Linked DNA regions of Danio rerio. Each later gene encodes a partner of the first gene's protein in a complex. Links are inferred from orthologs where the notes say so. Each region holds a gene or a part of one and is shown in the gene's direction. Other genes may lie near its edges.

The links.
Region 2: ints2 (region 1) and ints12 share a complex: the UniProt entries of both Homo sapiens proteins name them as parts of the integrator complex. The link is inferred for Danio rerio from reciprocal best matches to the Homo sapiens genes INTS2 and INTS12.
Region 3: the proteins of ints2 (region 1) and ints7 are in contact, whole or in part, in a cryo-EM structure (PDB 8RC4), measured with the Homo sapiens proteins. The link is inferred for Danio rerio from reciprocal best matches to the Homo sapiens genes INTS2 and INTS7. Residues at the interface, in NP_065799.2 of Homo sapiens: Gln27, Lys28, Val29, Cys48, Arg51, Met52, Cys55, Ala56, Ala58, Asp59, Gln60, Ser61, Trp64, Phe92, His93, Ala186, Glu187, Pro189, Ile194, Val218, Asp220, Ser221, Asn223, Glu224, Ser259, Leu262, Lys263, Arg265, His285, Gly294; in NP_056249.1 of Homo sapiens: Leu38, Gly39, Glu40, Cys42, Glu43, Val46, Arg47, Asn77, Phe78, Leu81, Cys82, Leu84, Lys85, Gln88, Gln89, Asn114, Asp115, Pro116, Val117, Ala120, Ile121, Arg124, Val153, Glu156, Val159, Phe160, Ala163, Leu195, Lys196, Pro199.

Annotation. Positions count from the first base shown.
Region 1 is NC_133185.1:32,939,560-32,943,212, reverse strand, and holds part of ints2 (integrator complex subunit 2), read left to right. Parts: intron 1-3,144; coding exon 3,145-3,275; intron 3,276-3,381; coding exon 3,382-3,552; intron 3,553-3,653. UniProt on the Homo sapiens protein: Component of the integrator complex, a multiprotein complex that terminates RNA polymerase II (Pol II) transcription in the promoter-proximal region of genes.
Region 2 is NC_133176.1:28,088,523-28,092,715, reverse strand, and holds the start of ints12 (integrator complex subunit 12), read left to right. Parts: upstream 1-1,341; 5' UTR 1,342-1,645; coding exon 1,646-1,801; intron 1,802-1,885; coding exon 1,886-2,047; intron 2,048-2,141; coding exon 2,142-2,326; intron 2,327-2,720; coding exon 2,721-2,880; intron 2,881-2,964; coding exon 2,965-3,117; intron 3,118-4,193. UniProt on the Homo sapiens protein: Component of the integrator complex, a multiprotein complex that terminates RNA polymerase II (Pol II) transcription in the promoter-proximal region of genes.
Region 3 is NC_133195.1:14,373,776-14,378,090, reverse strand, and holds the start of ints7 (integrator complex subunit 7), read left to right. Parts: upstream 1-1,463; 5' UTR 1,464-1,561; coding exon 1,562-1,655; intron 1,656-3,384; coding exon 3,385-3,514; intron 3,515-4,315. Other genes in the region: dtl (denticleless protein homolog), read right to left, coding at 69-123. UniProt on the Homo sapiens protein: Component of the integrator complex, a multiprotein complex that terminates RNA polymerase II (Pol II) transcription in the promoter-proximal region of genes.

The DNA of each region.
Region 1 (3,653 bases):
TCAAAATGAGCGAGTTTGAGCCAGCCTTAAGCTAGCATTCAGAAAAAACAAAACACCAGCGAAGAAACATAAAAACCTACTGCTAACTAGCGTTTCTGAAGTGTTATTGCAGAGCAACAAAAACAGCGGGCAGAAGTATAAATGCACGGCTATGCGCATTGCATGCGCAGTGGGTCACGCCGCTTACTTGACACAGAAGTATAAACCAGGATTAATTTCTATACAATGTGTGAAGCTGCCTGGTTAGTTCCTATCACATGACTCGTGGTTCACTCGTGGCACTCTGAAATGCTTTGGGGGTTTTTAACTCGTGGCGCCTGGAAAACATGAGCCTGGCATACCCCATGTGTGTCTCTTCCTATTTTCGCAATGAACCTGCTCGTTAAAAAGACGCTATAACCTATTTAAAAGTCCCCTTTTGTTGACTCGTAATATCATTCCTGCACATTGTAAGGCCCTGTTTGCGGTTGAATTTAAAATAAATAAATACTTCATGCGGGCCAATCAAAGAAGTCCGTGCAGGCCGTAAATGCCCAGGTCTGTTTTAAACCCAAAGAATTACTTAATGACTTTTTAAAGACGGCATCTTATAGTTATCTGTCATTTTCAGTTTACATTTATTAAATTGCAGATTGTCTTAATAAAGTCATTTAGATGTGTGTGAGTCTTGGATCAGGGTTATATATACATTTAATTTAATTTTAACGTACCAAAATCAGTGTGTTGCGTTTTTCTCCATTGACTATAAAGCCACGCGAAACTTGGGTTTACTTTACATTTGATCTGCTTTATGTGGCGGTTGTACGATCATCCAGAGGTGGCGAATTTCCATTTTGATGAGTTCGGCTGCTGATTATGGGCAGTTTGGGCTTGGGGGCGTTTGTGTCTCTTTATGTGTATATGTGGGTTTTCCTCAAAGACGCACTAAGTGGAAATAAAAACATTTTAAAGTCTCTGCTATCTTTTCATCACTCCCAGGTCCTTGTTGAGTCAATAGCTTATTTGTGCGAGGCTCCATTCAGAGCCAGTTTGAAACGTTTCATATTATTGAATGGCCAATTCTCAAGGCTCATTACCTAGACAGGATCTTTCATTGGGAGAATATTCTGCTCAAGGCTGAATCATTAAGGGAAAGAGCTTGTCTATAGAGATACACTGTAATCAGATGCAGGATGAATTGTGACGGACTCGGCTGCGTTTTCTCTCAATCAGCTGTTTTTTTCTTCTTCATAAGAGACTATTGAAACTAATATCATTCCTGCACTGGGTTATAAAAGGCTCTCTGTAATTCTAATCATTCTGCGTGGCAAGCTGTCATCTGTGGTTAAAATCACAGAATAAAAGAAAAACAGCTATTTTAATTCAAGGCCAGAGCTTAATTCAGAGCCAAATAAAGAAACGTTTATTTAAAGATGTTTGTGGGGATTATTTATTCCTATCTGAGCCATAACGTAGTATGTTTAGCTGTGGATAAAATTATTTTCCCAATATAGCCAAAATATTTCAAACTAAATATTTCAAAGTTAGATTTTTCCAATATCGTGCAACCCTAGTGTCACTCATAGATTTGTGTGTATGCATGGTTAGTGAATGAGACCCAATGTGTCTCAGTGGGAAAAAAATTAACAACAGCGCCACACAAATTCAATGTTGAGGGGTTAAAAAATGCCCCAACACAGCTATTATCAAAATGAGAGTTTTTGCATAACTTACACTAGGCTAGTTATATGGTTATATTGTTAGTTAATATGGATTTTGTGTAATTTGTGTAAGTCCTGAATTTAAAGGCCTTTTAAAACAGTCAACAAAGAGCTCACATGTCACTTATAAAAAGCCTAAAAGATCATAATTGGTATCGACTGATCATGATGAAGAAATCAGTAGTCAGTATCAGGATCAGCAAACGGAAAATAAAATAAAATGTTTTATGAAATATTAAACTTTAAAAGTGATAGAAAGTTTGAAAGATAATTTGGTTACACTTTAAGGTACAGTTCTTGCTAATAACAAAACATTAACTGTGACTTTTAGCTCGATAAACTCCTAATCTGCTGCTTATTAATTGTTATTAACTAGTAGTTAACTTGTATTTGTTCTTCTGTTAGTGATTTTTAATTGTTCTCAGTGAACAACGTTAGTATTTTTTTATTATACACGTCAATACCAGCTCCATATAAGGGCTTTCCACAAAGCGGAAAGGTTAGGATTAGGGATGTAGAAAAAGATCATGCAGAATATATACACTGTAAAACCCAACAATCAACTTGATCAAATGAAATGAGTGTAGTTAACTCAAAACTTACCAAAGGTTTATTCTACTCATTTGAAAAGAGTTTTGAGCTCAGTGTTGAAGGTAATGAGTTAATTAATACCTCATTACTTTAACTTAAATAGAGTAAGTTCACAGTACTCGTATAGATTAGTTTTTAACTCAAATGGTTTGTAGCATTCGGTTTGAGTTGCCTTAACTTATTGGGTTTTACAGTACTCAGTTGGTTTGAGTTCTCTTCATTTATTGGGTTTTACTGTGCTTAAATTGTTTGATTTAAACGGATTAAGTTCACACTACTTATTAGGATTAGTTTTTAAACAAATGTTTGTAGCAATTGGTTTCCTCAAATTGTTTGAGTTACCTTTACTTACTGGGTTTTACAGAGTACTTTAAAAAATCTTATAAAAAGCCAATGTCGTATTCATAAGCAGGTCATTAACCACTGGCTTAATGATAGTGAGAATTTGTACTAAAAGTCTTACCAAACATTTATTTTACGTGAAATATTTTATTAATTTTTATCTATTTGCTGTCAGTTTTAAGTTGTTTAATTCATTGTATTTTAATTAGTGAATTGCAATTAATATAAATTTATATAAATACATACAGGCATGCGTATGAAGTTTATTTACATTGATATGAAATATGTTTATATGATAAAATTTATATATACATTTAAATATCTACGTAAAACACACAAAGTATGTTAAAGCAAACTTTTATTTTGGATGCGATAAAGTGGATTAATCTTTGGCCAGCATGAATTTTATTTTAAAATAGTCTTTGAACTGAAATGAATGTAATGAAACTATATTTTTATGTCATTTAAAAGCAGTACATTTATTCCAAACTCTTTCCTCTTGTGTGTCCAGTGTGCAGAGGGCTGATAAAGAACGGAGAGCGGCAGGACGAGGAGAGTGTTGGTGGTCGCCGCAGGACAGAAGCTCTCCGGCAGCTGTGTCAGATGAACCCGTCTCAGGCTCTGAACATCAGGGCCATGGTGGTGAGTGTCCGGCTCGAAGACCACCTGTCATGCCTGGTATTAGACTGCAGCTAAAGTGATCAGAGCAACGTGATGTACTGAAGTCAAGCCCTCTGTCCTTCTACAGGTGGAAGAGTGTCATCTCCCAGGCCTCGGCGTTGCTTTGACACTGGATTATAAGCCAGACATGGCAGATGAGGCGGTCAGTCCTCTGGTGTCATACGTCAGTGGTCTGCTTTTAGGCACCAATGGAAAAGTGCGCACATGGTTTAGTTTGTTCATTCGCAATGGACAGCAGGTAAAGAACAGTGGAACTACTTGGACATAAAGTGTCCTTTTTACTTATTTGGGATTGTTTAGTCAAACGTGAAAATGTACTCACTCTTGAGTGGTTGTAAA
Region 2 (4,193 bases), on another chromosome or scaffold:
TTAACTTTACAATCTGAAATCTGTCAATAGCGTCACAATCAACCTTTATTACCCGCATTCACACAAATTTATTTATGACTGATCAGAATGAATCCAGTTAGACTAAATAGAAGTGAAGCATGTCGAAATCAACAAAATGCTTAGAAGACCTATAGATGTGTGGCACTTACCTTTTTTCTGGGATGTATTTGATTGGTCTAAGTGACTGAATAATTCTGAAAAATTATTCGATTCGTCTGATATATTTAGAACAGCTGTTTTAGTGACAGCGCCAGCTACTTGAAACCACAGAGAGATAGAAATAGCATCTATGCGGTGTTATTATTGTAAATGCTGCTGTTTGGATTCTTATTGTCTAACCCCTGCGATCTGGGACAAGAACCCCCGTCACACCAGAACAGCCAATCAGCTTCTTACACTCGACAACACAATTATGACGCTCCTACAACGCATTCTTTTGACCCCTGTCAACAACGCCATAACGGGCAAGATATGCCGTTAAATTCGCACAATAAATGGTCTTGGATGGTTATAGAACAATAAGGTTTTGAGAGTTTGTTACGAGACGTTATTTACCTATTTGGTCAAGGATATTTCAATTTTACGCACTACGTAGCATTTCCTTGTGTTACATTTATTAGTGTCCGGCTGATATGATTTTTAAGCTGGTTGATAAGCTCGCATTCCTGATGATTTTAATATATTAATACATAGTGATATTTTTAAAATAATTTGCAGGCTGAAATTTCATGTCGAGGTGCTGTTGGTGAAAATGACGGCGGAAACGAAGCGCTTATGTCGGTATGATTTAGTAGAAACACAAAAGCGTCATTAGAAAGAAATAAAAGAACAGTCGGCAAACATCATTATGATCACCAGTTATCCAGTAGGGGGCACTTGGTGGCTCAGAATGCAAAGCGCTATCAAGCCATCAAAATCCTGCAGAGAAATTTAAGAAATTTACAAATGTTAGTAAATAGAAAACATGTGTCTAAGGCAAGTCCATTAATTTCTAATAATTTGGTACATAATTCTCACCAACAGGTTATTTTTAATCTAACAATAAGAACTGACAAGCAGTAAGAAAAACAACAACTATCACGTGACAAAACCGTTGGCGTGTTGCTTCATCTTTTATGTGAGCAATAGTTTAAATAGGACACTTTTTAAAATAAATATTGTTTTTACAAACAATTTTTAAAACATGCCAAAGAGAGATAAATTAAAATGTAAATTAGCACAAAAACAGAAAACAGATTCATCCGACCAATTAGAGACAACCTCATGGCCACTAAGCCACGCCCTATTGAGGTCCCCATACTTTTCAAGCGCTTTCTTTCTACTTGCTCTATTTTAATTCGATACTATAGTCGGATCATTTCAAGCATTGCTAAGTTAGTTAATTTCTGCTAAGGATAATATCTTGTTTTTTTTTTACGGTTTATAAAAACGTTCCTTAAACAAAAGCTTGAGCACAATCCGGTGTCAGTAAGTTCATGTTGCTTTTGTTAGCTCAGAAAGACTAGATATTGTAGAGTCTGAAATGAAGCTTTTCTAGTGTTATCCGAGAATATAACATCGTAAACTCCATAAGTAGAGGGCCGGGTCATTTTCTTATGTTAAATTAGATAATAATCGCTAAACAATGGCTGGGACAGTAAGTCTAGAGTTAGACCCTATCTTTCTGAAGGGACTGGGGTATCTTCACTCCAAGAGCAAAGACTCGGCAGAGAAACTCAAGGCCCTGCTAGATGAGTCTTTAGCCAGAGGCAGTGACTCCATCTATAGGAATTCAATTAAGGTGATCAAATCAAGAAGGTATTATTTTTTTGTTTTTTATTAGTAGATTTTAAAAAAAATATTTAACTCGTTATCCATTGAATAGGAAGCTGAAGTGAGCAAAGTGTCATTGCCAAAAATGACAAAACAAGACTCCAAATCCTCCTCAAGTTCCTCAGCGTCATCATCCATCACCACCACCAGCAGCAGTAAATCAAGCACCTCAGAGAAGTCCAAGAAAGAGAGCGAGAAAAGAACTTTGGAAAAAGTCAGTTTGCACTAATATTCATTTATGATTGTAAATGTGACATGACTGGAAATTCTCAGCATAATTCACTTTTGAATATTTGTATGATTTAAAGATTAGGGTTGATCCTGGAGAAGGAGTGGAGCCGCCTAAGAAACCTCGTTTAGAGAAGCAGGACAGTCATTCCTCTCCGATTGCTTTTCAAACCAAGGACATTCCCATTCCAGATTTCACAGATATTGATGAAACCAACGCTGATGACTTTGCCATGGAAATGGGTCTTGCTTGTGTGGTTTGTCGGTGAGTGATGCCACTTCTGATGGAGTTTTCTTCGAATAAGTAGCTATATGTAGTGGGAATGTGAGTGTGTTAAAAGTTACAAAAACACACAACTATTGTTGTTTACTAACAGGCATTAATTTACTCATAAAAATCTGTATTCATTTGTTTGTTCAATATTCATCAGTATCTTTCTTTATGTTTATCAGAAGAAAGATACTTCAACTAAAGGTTTAGAGCAAGTAAAGCATGAGTAAATGATAATTTATTTTTTGATGTTATTTGTGAGTGTTAGATAAACTTTTTTGGATTTTTTTTTTTGTGTCATTACACTGATGTCGTTGATGTTCTCTGAATCTTTAATTTATTTTCGGCCATTTTAATTCGAAATGTATCTATATTTCTCCTCTCTCAGACAAATGACCGTCACTTCTGGGAATCAGCTTGTGGAGTGTCAAGAATGTCATAATCTTTATCATCAAGAGTGTCACAAACCTCAGGTTACTGACAAGGATGTGAATGACCCGCGACTGGTGTGGTACTGTGCTCGGTGCACCAGGCAAATGAAACGAATGGTGGGAAGTGTATGACAATGAATTTTATGCGTATCACTGAAATAATAATGAAATATTAACTGTTATGTGTTTTTAATATCTCAGGCCCAAAAGACTCAGAAACCACCACAAAAGCCAGCTCCTGCTTTGGCAACAACAGTACCTTTGTTGAAAGATCCGCTAGTCAAGAAAGCTGAACTAAAGCCAAAACCTGAAACGACAGGTTCATTCCAGGCCTTTAAGAGAACAGAAGTAAAGGTAAGTGTATTCACAGCAGCATAGCAATATTAACTTCTTTTCAATGATCTGATCACAAGTGGTCAGCAGAAGGTCATTTTCACCTGGTATTATCTTAGGTTATAATGTGTTCAGACTTATCTAGATCCATTCTTTTCATTTTGTTGTTTTCTTCACATTGTTCACTTTAACAGCATATTTTGATTACATTTTTATTCCTAGTCTTTTGATTAAAATCAAATTTAGTATTACTAGTCATATTACTAGTAGTATCTATATTCTACTGTAGATTTATTTAACTAAATCTAATAGTTGAGTTAAATCAAATAAATTACACACATCTCAAATTTCTAAGCTTATTATGTACTTCTGGAGAACACACTTATAAACATGAACAATATTAAGGTTTGAACAAAAAAGTATTTTGGTGTCGCTTTAGCCCTGTGCAATGGCAAACCGAAACAAGTTCAAGTCTATTCATGTCTAAAACACCAAGTCTACACAAATTTACATTTTTTTAAAACTTATTTTTATAAAAGCGTAAAAACAGGCGAAAGACCATTTAAACCCCAGGCACTGTTATGGCCCGTTTCCACTGAGTGGTACGGTACGGTTCGTTTTGGTACGCTTTTATGGCCATTTCCACTGTCAAAAGGCATACCGAACCAAACCGTACCGTACCACTTTTTCGGCACCCTTTCGAAAGGGTCACAAACTGCAGAAAGGGTCCCAAAAGGTGGAGCTACATGCGCAGCTGAATGCTATTGGTTAATAGAGATACGTCATTTGTAGACTCAACAAGCCAGAATGTAAACAAAGGACCTGCCATGTTTAAAATACACAGCGAGAGATTACACAAAATTATATCTACATATGCAGCCATAGTCGATCCGGGCTCAAACAAACCCTGTCGCCGTCTTGTTAAACAGCCACAAAGCCATGGAGAAGAGCAGATTTACCCTGTGCCGCGTAGTTTTTTTACGAGCCAGTCTGAAGCCTGAGTGGTTTCACTTTTTTTCCTTGCGCTCGACGCGCGTTATCTGAAATAACTAACTTCTTTAGCTGATAATAATAACATGCGCTTGATTATTGACAAG
Region 3 (4,315 bases), on another chromosome or scaffold:
TACAAAGTATTTCAGTGTAAATAGTGTAATAACGCTGGTTTAGGTTAACGTATATTCAGCAAACTCACCATTTCGTCCTCTTTTTTTAGCCCCTCGATCAACAACATGGTGAAAAAGAGTCATCGCTGCAGGATGCAAGTCGCGTTCAGAAGTGGTAAGTTTCCCGCGAACAATGAAAAAGCGCTGAAGACGAATTCCCCGCGAGATGGACGAACAGTGTTCTAATTGGTCGACACGTCAGGAAACAGGAAGTGTTAAGCCACTGCGAGCGGAGTGGAATGGCTGCGAACACTAGAGGCGCCATGTGGCCCCAAAAAAATCCGGGTTAACATTAACATTAACAATATATATATATATATATATATATATATATATATATATATATATATATATATATATATATATATATATATATATATATATATATATATATATATATATATATTCATTATTTCATTTATTTCCTTTTTGGCTTAGTACCTTTATTGTTTTGGAGTTGCCACTGCGGAATATGGTTTTACGCAGCGGATGCCCTTCCAGCTGCAACCCATAAGTGGTAAACATCCATACACACTCATTCACACACACACACAAACACACACACACACACACACACACACACACACACACACACACACACACACACACACACACACACACACACAAAATTTAGCCTACCCAGTTCACCTACAGCATATATTTTTTTAACCCACGCAAACACTGGAAGAACATGTAAACGCCACAGAAACACAAAAACTTAATCTTATTAAGAATAAAAAACCCTAAAATTCCTGAAATATTATACAGATGTAGGAGATGCTTAAGTTTAGTTGCTTTCCTTTTGGTTATTTGTTTAAGTGTCATTGTAATTTCATTCATTTGTTTAATTTAGTTTGTTTAATTTAGTAATTTTGTTATTATCATAATTTTATTATTATTAATATTATAATTATTAATATTTTCCCTTTCAGTCTAATGATATGTTATTTGTATGTGTTTGTGATAATTTTTATGACTGTGTATACTATTGATCATTTTAAAGTGATCTCTGGGATCCTTTGGATTTTGTTCTGATAGCAAGCAATAATATATATATATATATATATATATATATATATATATATATATATATATATATATATATATATATATATATATATATATATATATATATATATATATATATATATATATATATATATATATATATATATATATATATATATATATATATATATATAATTTTGCAAATGATTAAATAAAAATTATGATAGCATGAAGAGCCTAAAAGCTGAGCAGAGGTTTAGACTAATCAGGGTAAATGCCGACTCATAAGCCCCGCCTTCTTTGGTCACCTCTTTGGGTCGCTTTCGCTTCTAGCGTTCCTTGTAGCGCAACGGAAACCCGACGACGAAACTGGCGTTGTGCGTCACGTGACCTGCTTTACAACCGGGTCACACTTCAAACTTAATGCACAAAATCTCCATCTGATAAAACAAATAAAGTGTTAAATCCGAGAGCAGTCTATCGGGTTACATTTTTTGCAGTCTAATAATAAACAATGTCGCTTTCAGCAGCGCGTTCGTTTCTTTCGGAGGCGGCATACGGCGAGCAGGAGCTGGACGCCAATTCAGCGCTGATGGAGCTCGATAAAGGTGGCTCTTTATAAACAACACACGTGTATTTGTTTTTTGATGCAGTGTGTGTGTGTGCTATTTTAATGTTGAATATCATACATTGTATCTGTTCGCATGAAAAAGCTCTTCTATAATTTTATTATGTAGGCTACTACTGTACTTTAGTCTATACTGTGCTTTGTTTTCATTTTTACAGAATGTTTTAGGGATGTAACATATGTTATGGAAAGATCCAGAATTTACGCAACCGTCAAGTAGTTTGACTTTTATGAGTTTCTTCTTCTTTGCACACGCCACACGGGTGATAAAATGCTTTAATTTTAAACTACTAAGGTCTAAAAAGTGCTTAGATTATGGATGAAGTGCTTGGAAAGTAATTGCATTGCTTTCATAATCATTGATCTTACTGAACGTACAACATTGTTTACAGTCAAAAAATTGTGCTTATGTTGTTTTGAAGTCACACTTACATGTGATTTTATACTGAATATTCAAAGTACCATGGTAAACGCTATAGGGAGCGTGTCACAAGTTGTCAATGAACAAATGTACGAATATAAAACCAACTTTACCTGTCTTATTAAACGGGTAATAACAGTGAAAATTACTGTTTAAATAAAAGTATAATAACTCTCATTGCTTGTGCATAAAATGAAAATCTGGGGTCTGTACATAAGCCTGTAGCATGATCTGCCTTCTATCTTATTTTGTCTGCACTCCTTGAGTATAAGATGAAATTAGATACATCTAAGATTTAAGTAAATGACATTCATATAAAAAAAAATCTTATGAATAGAATCTGATAAAATGTAATAAAGCATGTGTGTGTATGTAAATGTGTAATATGCCACACATTTACATACACATGCATTCAAAAAATGTGCATCTGAAAAGTGCTTAAATTATATAAAAAAGCATGCTGCAAACACAAAAGAAGATACTTTGAACAATGTTCAAAATCAGTAACCTTTGACTTCCACAGTAGGACAACAAATGTAGGTCAATAGTTACAGGTTTACAGCTTTTTTCAAAATATTCAATTCAATTCAATTCAGCTTTATTTGTATAGCGCTTTTACAATGTACATTGTGTCAAAGCAGCTTCACATAAATGGTCATAGTAACTGGAACAGTGTGGTTCAGGTTTTAAAATATCTTCTTTAGTGTTCGACAGAGTAATAAAACTGAAATGGGTTTAGAAAACAAACAAAGGATGTGACACTAAAAAAGCAATACAGTTGAAGTCAGCATTAATAGCCCCCATTTGAATTGTTATTTTTTTTTTTCCAGAATAGTGTTTAACAGAGCAAGAAAACTTTCACAGTATGTCTGATAATATATTTTTTTCTTTTTGAGAAAGTCTTATTTGTTTTATTTCAGTAAGAATAAAAGCAGTTTTTATATTTTTAAGAAACATTTTAAGGTAAAAATTACTAGGCCCTTTAAGCTATATATTTTTCCGATAGTCTACAAAACAAACCATCGTTATAGAGTAACTTGACAAATGTATGCTGTTTGTTCATTTATTTAAAATTAACAGAAACAACACAATTGTTAAGTTTTATTTTGGGAACACTTAGTTGTTTTAGATTCAATCAACTAAAATTTGTAAAATCTAATAATATAACTTAATCCATTCATGCTATTGTGGAACCCAACATTTTTACAGAGTATGAATAAAAAACATACATATTTGAGCGTGAATCATTCCTTTTACTCACACACTTCTGATTTTGTCTTTGCTCCAGGTTTACGGTCTTGTAAACTGGGCGAGCAGTGTGAAGCCGTGGTCCTTTTTCCCAAACTCTTCCAGAAATACCCGTTCCCCATCCTCATCAACTCTGCCTTCCTGAAGCTGGCAGATATCTTCAGACTTGGGTAATTGCACATATAAATACATACGAATTATGTCATGTTTAATAGTTTAGATATGGTAACAAAATTGTCAATAGCTGCTTTTCCACTATCGTGCTGAATCGTTCTTTAAGCAGAACCGTTCCATTCCGTGCCAAACCAGGCCAGACAGGACGGATACGGTTTCATTTTCCACTGTCCTGCTGCGACAAAGCTCTTTAAAAACATTACACAAACCGCATCAGTAGTTGCCTTGGTTAACGCAATGTAAACAGCTCCCTTTGTTCAATTAAATTTAAATAATAGCCGAAACTAGTTTTTTTCATGTTCATAAAAGTGAAAGCAACCATGTGACTAGCACTGTTATGCCGCTCTATTAAATAGGGTTGCTAAATATAGGTAGGCTACATACGTCAGCACCCTTATTTATTTAGAGGTATGTTGTGCGGATCTGGCTAAATTTTATTTAGGGGGAAAATTACCAAAATATATCGTGATTAGGGATGTAACGATTTATCGTTGTACGATTTATTGCAATGCAAAAATGTCTCTATGCATCGTGGTGTTATGACGATTTGATTACGATATGACGTCCGTTTTCTCTTATTAGTTGAGCTGTTTGCACGTGAGCTACGTTCCACCTGCTGTCGCACGTGAGTTCAGATTGCAGCAGCAGTAATGTTAGCAGACCAAGATGAGTGGAGCTGATATAGAGGATGGCCCATCCTCTCAAAATCAGACGTCTGGCAACATTTCGGTTGTACAGTCATTGCTTTAGACTCGTCCGCTTTTTGACACGCATACTGGGTCAAACATCCTAAGTTT